Linked DNA regions of Kluyveromyces lactis. The protein of the gene in region 1 interacts with the protein of each later gene in a pairwise test. Links are inferred from orthologs where the notes say so. Each region holds a gene or a part of one and is shown in the gene's direction. Other genes may lie near its edges.

The links.
Region 2: the proteins of SGT2 (region 1) and GET4 interact in binary tests that used the Saccharomyces cerevisiae proteins (3 or more experiments, as listed by UniProt). The link is inferred for Kluyveromyces lactis from reciprocal best matches to the Saccharomyces cerevisiae genes SGT2 and GET4.
Region 3: the proteins of SGT2 (region 1) and FIS1 interact in binary tests that used the Saccharomyces cerevisiae proteins (3 or more experiments, as listed by UniProt). The link is inferred for Kluyveromyces lactis from reciprocal best matches to the Saccharomyces cerevisiae genes SGT2 and FIS1.

The regions. Positions count from the first base shown.
Region 1 is NC_006040.1:104,232-107,262, reverse strand, and holds SGT2 (Sgt2p), read left to right. Parts: upstream 1-1,408; coding exon 1,409-2,416; downstream 2,417-3,031. Other genes in the region: ALG6 (dolichyl-P-Glc:Man(9)GlcNAc(2)-PP-dolichol alpha-1,3-glucosyltransferase), read left to right, coding at 1-527; KLLA0_D01133g (uncharacterized protein), read right to left, coding at 2,480-3,031. UniProt on the Saccharomyces cerevisiae protein: Co-chaperone that binds to the molecular chaperone Hsp70 (SSA1 and SSA2). Regulates Hsp70 ATPase activity. Required for recovery from heat shock.
Region 2 is NC_006042.1:1,886,922-1,889,889, reverse strand, and holds GET4 (protein GET4), read left to right. Parts: upstream 1-1,485; coding exon 1,486-2,394; downstream 2,395-2,968. Other genes in the region: dynamin-like GTPase SEY1, read right to left, coding at 1-1,087; polyphosphatase DDP1, read right to left, coding at 2,437-2,968. UniProt on the Saccharomyces cerevisiae protein: May play a role in insertion of tail-anchored proteins into the endoplasmic reticulum membrane.
Region 3 is NC_006039.1:696,692-699,066, reverse strand, and holds FIS1 (Fis1p), read left to right. Parts: upstream 1-1,311; coding exon 1,312-1,779; downstream 1,780-2,375. Other genes in the region: YRB2 (Yrb2p), read left to right, coding at 1-200; EFM4 (Efm4p), read right to left, coding at 283-981. UniProt on the Saccharomyces cerevisiae protein: Has a role in mitochondrial fission. Has a role in outer membrane fission but not matrix separation. Required for targeting MDV1 to the mitochondria.

The DNA.
Region 1 (3,031 bases):
TCTTCTTATTCAGCTTCCAGGTTCATGAAAAGACAATCTTATTACCTTTACTTCCTATTACACTCTTGTACACGTCAAGAGATTGGAATGTTCTATCATTGGTTTGTTGGATTAACAACGTGGCATTGTTTACACTCTGGCCATTACTGAAAAAGGACAATCTAGTATTGCAATATGGAGTCATGTTCATGTTTAGCAATTGGTTGATCGGTAACTTCAGTTTCGTCACACCACGCTTCCTCCCAAAATTTTTGACACCAGGGCCATCCATCAGTGATATAGATGTTGATTATAGACGGGCAAGTTTACTACCCAAGAGCCTAATATGGAGATTAATCATTGTTGGCTCATATATTGCAATGGGGATTATTCATTTTCTAGACTATTACGTCTCCCCGCCATCAAAATACCCTGATTTATGGGTGCTTGCCAATTGTTCCTTGGGCTTCTCATGTTTTGTGACATTTTGGATATGGAACAATTATAAATTATTCGAAATGAGAAACAGCACTTTGCAAGATTTATAGATGTTAAAATTTATAATAGCAGTAATGATACGGGGCGTACCTTGCAAGAGCAAAACCGGGATATATATTTCACTCCTCTGTTTAATCATTTAGGATTCTACTTACACTTTAATTAGTATTCATATATCGAATGTCAGTTTCGATCAAAAATAAACAAAGACAAAAAGCACCAGTATAAGACTCGTAAATGAGAAAAACAATTCTTCGTAATGAAATTCAATATAGTAAAACTCTCCATGCTGGATGCACCGTATTTGTGTAACGGCATACTCACTAAATAGGTAAAGTCTGAATATTACTTTAAAAGTATCATATGATCTGTTGTAGCTGTTATATAGAACGAAAAGTAGTAACCGTCACGAAATCTTATTCCTCGTGGCCCAATGGTCACGGCGTCTGGCTACGATGTTAGCTACTTCTGAAACCAGAAGATTCCAGGTTCGAGTCCTGGCGGGGAAGATTTTGTTTTTGATTAACTTTTTCCTTCTTTCAAGGAGCCAGCAACTCTTTGAACTTCCTTTCCATGGTTGATGGTTCCAAACTATTAGTAGCTTCTATCAAATATCACTACTTCTCAATTAAGACGGCACGAGTCAGCTTAAAAATGCTAACGATGTGAAATTGACGTGTCTCTGTGAATCTTTCGTCTTCTGTTGCCTTCTCTAACCGAAGGTTTTTCCGTACTTATCATTTTTTCGCCATTCACATTCAGGAAAAAGTTTATTATAATAGTGCTTAAATGACAAGTTGCCTGGATTTTATGTACTTTCAAAGAAGAGTTATCATTGACTCGTCCTTTGTTACTGCTTCATCTTATCGTATACAGCGGTTTGTGATCCTTATTTCATCTTAAAGCACTGTCAAAAGTTTAGAAAATCCGAATGTCCCTATCTAATAAGGAAATTGCTGCTTTGATTGTTGACTTTTTGTCATCATCGTCTTCTTCAGTAAACGAAGACTATGTTGATTCGTTGAATGTTGCCATCGACTGTATCACTGAGGCCTTCCAATTTGAAAGAGATGAGACTGATTCTTTAATCTCTGGTCCTTTTAATGGCAAGAAATTACCTGAACTATTAGCCTCAGCTCCCTCTTCTGGAGGCGTTTCTGGTGAACCAGTGAAGGTTCATATTCCAGTTGAAGATGCAGCAGCTAAGGCCAAGGCTGAAGAATTAAAGCTACAGGGTAACAAGGCCATGGCTGCTAAGAAATTTGATGAGGCTATTGAAAAATACACTGCTGCTATCGAAGTTTCTCCATCTAACGCTGTTTACTACTCGAACAGGGCTGCAGCTTATTCTTCTTTGAAGCAGTACGAACAGGCCGTTAAGGACGCCGAGCAAGCTATTGAAGTTGATCCTACATATTCTAAGGGTTTTTCTAGACTTGGATTTGCGAAGTATGCTTTGAATAAGCCTGAAGAAGCTTTAGATGCTTACAAGAAGGTCCTAGATATCGAAGGGGAAAAAGCTACTGACGTTATGAAAAGAGATTACGAAACTGCCAAGAAGAAGGTAGAAACCTCAATGAACTTAGAGAAGAGCTCTACCAGCGCTTCTTCTGAAGATGTTTCTGACAAATCTGCGACTGAAGGTCCTGGTGCAGGCGCTGGTGGCTTACCAGATCTTTCAAGCTTGTTAGGTGGTGGCGGTCTAGGCGGTGGTTTAGGAGCACTGCTAAACAACCCTCAAGTTATGCAAGCCGCTGAAAAGATGATGCAAAATCCAGGTCTAATGCAGGATATGATGTCCAATCCAGCAATGAAGCAAATGGCCAACCAATTCTCATCTGGTGGCGGCATGCCAGATTTGAGTCAAATGATGAATGACCCATCTATTAGAGACATGGCCAAAAACATGTTTGGTGGCGGCAACGGCAGCCAGCAATAACCAGTATACCCAAACTTTTGCTTGTCCTTTTTGACTGTATATATTTGATCTATATATGACTAGTTAAACATGCCCTTTCATGGTATCAATCAATTGTTGCATGATTTGTTTATTTTCCCTGATTCTTTGATCAACTATGGATTTAACGATATGATCGTGGTAAAACTGCTCTTTGAATTCGATGAATAGATTTATCCCCACTGCGATCGATTCATGTGTTGTTTTGATTTCACCGCCAATTTTCTTAAGGTTCAAAGAGCTCATTTTCAGTTGATTGGATAACTTATTCCTAAATTTAGACCTTTTACCTTCAATGTAGGTATCTATAAAATTTCTGTTTGCTGAAGAAGGAGGCGCCTTGTCATTTGGGAAATTTTTCTTCCACTCTTTCTTCAGTTCCATTAATTCACCAAAATGTTTCCACCATAAAGTTGTCTTTGCGAGAAGAGACTCAAAGTTATTAAGTAAAGTGACAACAGAGTGCTCTAGATATTCCAAGTTTCGAGTAAACTCATAATATGAAAGATCATAAGACCAAGCGCAGTTTGTATTTTCAAAACTTTTTGCTACACCTTTTTGCGACATTTGGTTCCCCAAAGATAGGAAAGAGTTTCG
Region 2 (2,968 bases), on another chromosome or scaffold:
CTCTACGTTCTTCATACACTTTCTTCGCGTAACGTGAGGCGAAAGGGTCATAGTCGACATCAATACAGGTTGATTGTAATGTTTTTAGTACTGTTGCAAGTTCTTTCCCATCCAAGGAGTCAGTGACCTGTGATTGATAGTCATTCAAAAATTTGTTGTATGCTGCTGCTGCAATCTCGTCGGTTTTGAATCTAGCTACGAGAATCTGCTGGGTCGGCAAATCAAGATCTTTGTTATTCTCAATTTGTTCCCAGCAGTTTTCTGCATAAAGAGACCATCCATCCAATGGCAAGTGAGTATGGTATTCATCTTTGAAGAAAGAGGCATCTTGGTCAACGAACAAGTCACCCAAACTCTTCACATCATTATCAAACTGTTCAGGTTGGAAGACCTTGTGGCCCAAACCGAAGAAATTTGGAACGAAAAAATCATGGAAAGATGTATCTTCACAACCTTCAGGCTTACTTAGCTGTGACCACATTTTTTCTAATTCCAGGACAAGACTGGCTTCTAAACTTTCCAATGGTGTTTGGCCGGTAAAATCTCTAATGACAAACAGCAATGCTACCTTGTGACGATTTTCATTCTTGCCAAATAACGAAAGATTCACCTCGAAAACCGTTTTCAACAACCCCATGTTATTCCCCTGGTATAGCCCGACCTGGTTTTCCCACATATTCACGATTAGAACCTCGGACACTGATAATGCAAATAGAGCAGCTTTCCTTTCAAAGTCTTGATCCTCACCTCTCTCCGCACCATCCGAACCTTCGACATCCAAAACAAAGAAATCAGGAATGGATTGGTTGGCAGCTCCAGAGCTGTATATATTGGCAGAATGGGATAACCAAATACCTCTAGTAGTCTGTTGTCGTTTAACCTGTGCATCCATGGTATCGAATTTTGTATCGAACAATTTATTCAATAACGTCGATTTACCACTTGATTGCGATCCAAAAACAGATATGACATGATACTTTACTCCAACATTTTTATCCCCAAGGCACTTCGTGAAATAGTTCAATGTCGAGGGATTGAATTGTTTGTTCTCATCGATGAGCTGAATAGCTTCTTTGAGATCACTCATGCTACTGTTTGACAGCGTTCCCTTAATAATGTAACAAAAACGAAATGTATCACCTCACTAAGCAGATATTACTCGGTTCTAAATTGTAATTAAATCCCTTGGCAATATAGCTCAGCTGCTGCTCCAGCTGTTATTGTCCTTTACCCTATCTTTCATCAGAATAGTTAATGAACGAGTCAATTTCAATATTGGTTTTGTTGAGTTTCAATATTTTAACGGTCCGAAATTTCGCCAGGAAGAGAAAGAAAGAACATGATCATATTGTAAAGGTCCAACGAGTGAACCACAGCTTTCGTGTTTCTCAGAATCAAGTTATTTTGTACTTATCAAGAGGCCTTTTGAATCCGTTAGGCGAGTTTTTACATACCTTAATTGTTTTTTGATCGAGACACTTAGAGATGAGTGATAAATTAACGAAGACCTTACAGAGATTCAATGCGAGAATTGAAGCTGGTGATTATTATGAAGCCCATCAGACGTTAAGAACCATTGCTAATAGATATGTGCGGGCCAAAAAGTATGATGAATCGATTGATTTGATTTCTCATGCAGCCGGTGCGTTTTTGAGGTCCAAGCAAGGTGGTTCTGGTTCAGATTTGATCTTCTATCTACTTGAAGTTTACGATTTGGCATCGGTTCCATGCAATGACTCTTCGGTCTCTAGACTCATTCAATTACTCGTCCTCGTTGACGGCCAGGAACCAAATTTAAAGGATGTAGTGACAGGGATGAACAATTGGTCTGTGAAACATAGTGAATATAAGTTTGGTGACCCATACTTACATTCAGCGATCGCTACAAAATTACTTGAAGGTGGATATACATACGAAGCGGAAAGATATCTAGTGCTAGGTACTCATGACTCGATGAAGCGGTATGTGGATCTACTTTGGGACTGGTATCAGCAATCCGGTGAGGACTCCAGTTTCCCCGATTTCATATCAAGAATGATATTCAACTATTTGTTCATCTTCAATATCGAATATGCATTGGAGGGATCTAAAGAACTTTTAAAACGGTTTACCAATCACAAGACAGATGTAAAATTTGAGTTAACAGAGAAAGGCCCATATAAGATTGATTATTTCTCATCGTGGGAATCGTTGAACTTTTTACAGTTGTTAATAATCGCATGTCAAACTCAAGAAACTATTCTTTTCCAGAATCTAAAATCACAATACTCAACTCTTGCCAACAAATACAACTCTGAGCTACAATTCTTGGGCCAAGAATACTTCGGTATCAAGGTCGAGAAACCAATCAACTTCTTGCAAGATATGATGTCTGGTTTCTTTGGAGGTAAATAATAATAGTCTTCGGTATAAACATACTCTATGTTATATATAATGCTAACTTTTCTTGATGCTACTTCTATTCAGAGCCTCAATGAGCTCTGGCCTCTTGGCACGGGTCAAGTTTTCTTTGGCCTGTTCGTAGGAGAACCATTGACGGTTTCTTGTCTTCACTTCAGGATAATTGTCCTCCAATTTAACATTAATCATCTCGAAGAAATGGAATTCGGACCTGGGAGGCCATTTGTTAACAGTTTCGTCATTCGAACTCTCGAATGCTTCCAAATCTGGGTTCCAGTCCTTTGGAGGTCTCATATCCTCAATGGAACCAAGTGCTTTCACTATATCGCCTGTGGCACCAGCTTCTTCCCAGGTCTCTCTTCTTGCAGCGGACTCAAAGTCAGGTTCATCACTTTCAATACCACCCTTTGGCAACACCCATCTCTTCTTATGAGCGGATGACTGGACCATTAAGACATTCTCTCGGCTTTCATCCAGTATTATACATCCTGCAACGAGTCTAGCACCAGTGACACTTGAATACAACTGATTCTCACGTCCTACTCTTGAGGTGTCGGTCTTGATAAAG
Region 3 (2,375 bases), on another chromosome or scaffold:
AAGTAATATTGAATCTACCGCTTGTAAAAGGATTTTCTATTAAAAAAGGGTTCCCAGGTTCTCTGAACGGAGAAAAGTTCGTCAGAATATTAGCAGTTGATGAGAACAAGAATCCTGTCCAGTATGCCTTAAGGACAGGAAAAGCTGAAATAGCAGATGAGTTATATGAGAAAGTAAATGCTCATATCCTGGAGAATTGAATTGGACATATTACTTCTGATTCAAACAGACTTTGTAAAATTGACACTACTTAAAACCTTTTGAATAATACCTTAATTAAGATTATTTAGCAGAAGATTTGAGAAAGGCAACGCTGCATATTGTAGTTCCTTTGACACCACCGAACTCAAATATTGGATAGTTTACCGATTTCCATTTTTTCAACGTCTCTGTTTCAATAATCTTTATGAGTTCCTCTTCTGTAAAATTGCATGATGTAATCAACAGAATACTGTTTTCGCCTAATATCTTCTCTATCACTTTCGGATAGACATCTACCACGGTTTCATTGTTTTCAAATTTTATACCGCTTAATGCGATGGCATCTAGTGTACCTTTATCTAGAACGACATCGAATTTACCTGGGGCCCATTGTTCATTGAATATATCTGCCGTAGCAAAAGTTACGTTATCATTTTGGCTGTATTTAGTCTTGAGAATCTCAGCAGCAAACTCGACTGATTTTTCAGAGTAATCTACACCGATCATTTCACCTTTGAAACCTTCCTCCAATAGAGTGAACAAAAGATGACCATTTCCAGTTCCGAGATCAATCATTGAGCTGTCTTCTTTGATATTGTATTCGCCCAAGTTATCTAGTAGAAATTCGACCATTTTCTCCTCTGCATCGTTATCAGCGAACCAGCATTCTCCAGTATCCTCAGGGTTCTCCTCGAAGTTTTGTTTCTCTAATGAGTAGAAATCGTCCCAGTATTCCTTAGTTCCCAACTTAGAAGTATTCAATTTTGTTGTATCTTCCATGTTTCTAGTGTAAGTTTTCTGGACAAAAATGAACCAACGGATAAATTACCGCAATTATCAGTGTTGATATTTGGAACGGAACTTCAATTGCTGATCTTATTGCGATGCCTCTGTACCAATTCTCAGAGATGACTTTCTGTATATATTTGTATATAATCAAAACGTTTTCGAGATGTCTAGCGGACGTAAGAAAAATAAATTGAAAAGTTAAAACTGATAATTTGACATTGAATTTGAAACAATATCATTAACAACATCTGAAACGATCGAAGGTAGCAGTTATTTCTTTATCTTGAAATCACTCGCACAAGCTCAAAAAAATACTGCGGTATGACTAACATCCACTACCTTCCTGAATTGGAGGATTCATATTCTGCATTAAACAGCGATCAAATCGAAATTTTAAGGCAACAGGTGCTCAATGAAGGGGGCGAAATATCATCTATTCAATCACGCTTCAATTACGCCTGGGGTCTCGTCAGATCGACGAATAAGGAAGATCAGATGTTGGGTGTTAAGTTATTGACGGACATATACAAAGAATCTCCAATGAGAAGAAGAGAGTGCTTATACTATTTGACCATCGGATGTTACAAACTCGGCGAATACTCTACTGCAAAGCGGTACGTGGATGCACTAGTGCATCATGAACCTGAAAACAAACAAGCATTGATGCTACAAACCGCTGTAGAAAACAAGATCACTTCTCAGGGATTAAAAGGGATTGCCTTGATCAGTGCAGGAATCGCCATCGGCGCAACCACCATCGGCCTCCTTATCAGAGGCAGAAGGCGCTAACAAATTTCTTTCCTCCACTACATTCTCAAGAATAGAAATATAATCTCCAGGGAATATCCTGTCACCCATATTACTCGCTTGTAAATAATGTTATATGTATGTCCCTATCAATCTAATGAAATAATCTGCTAATGATCAAAATATATTCGAACTTGTGAATCTTCAATTCATGAATTGCATCACAAAGTTTACATTAAAAGATGAAATGTAGTTACAAAAGTGAGAACAACGAAGAAGTGAAATGTTTCTGTTACAATTGCTAGTAATGATGGATACATAGGAAGAATTGTTTCCATTGGACCAAGTACTGCCCCACAGTTCTAGTGGCCTTCGCCTTCGCCTTGGGTAAAGGCATTGGTATCGTATCACGTGACCATAGGAAATTTCCAGATTACCAAATCAGTATGATGGTCTCTCCTCCTTACTAACTGGCGGTATCACGTAGTCTTCCATTAAATAGTAACAAACAACAACAACCGAGTCTAATTCTGTCCAGTTTGCCGCAATTCACACACCTAGCACCCTGTTCTACGTCTGTTTTTTCCTCTTGTTTTGTCGAAGGCATCGTATCTTCTGTGGATACTGCACCCGTCATC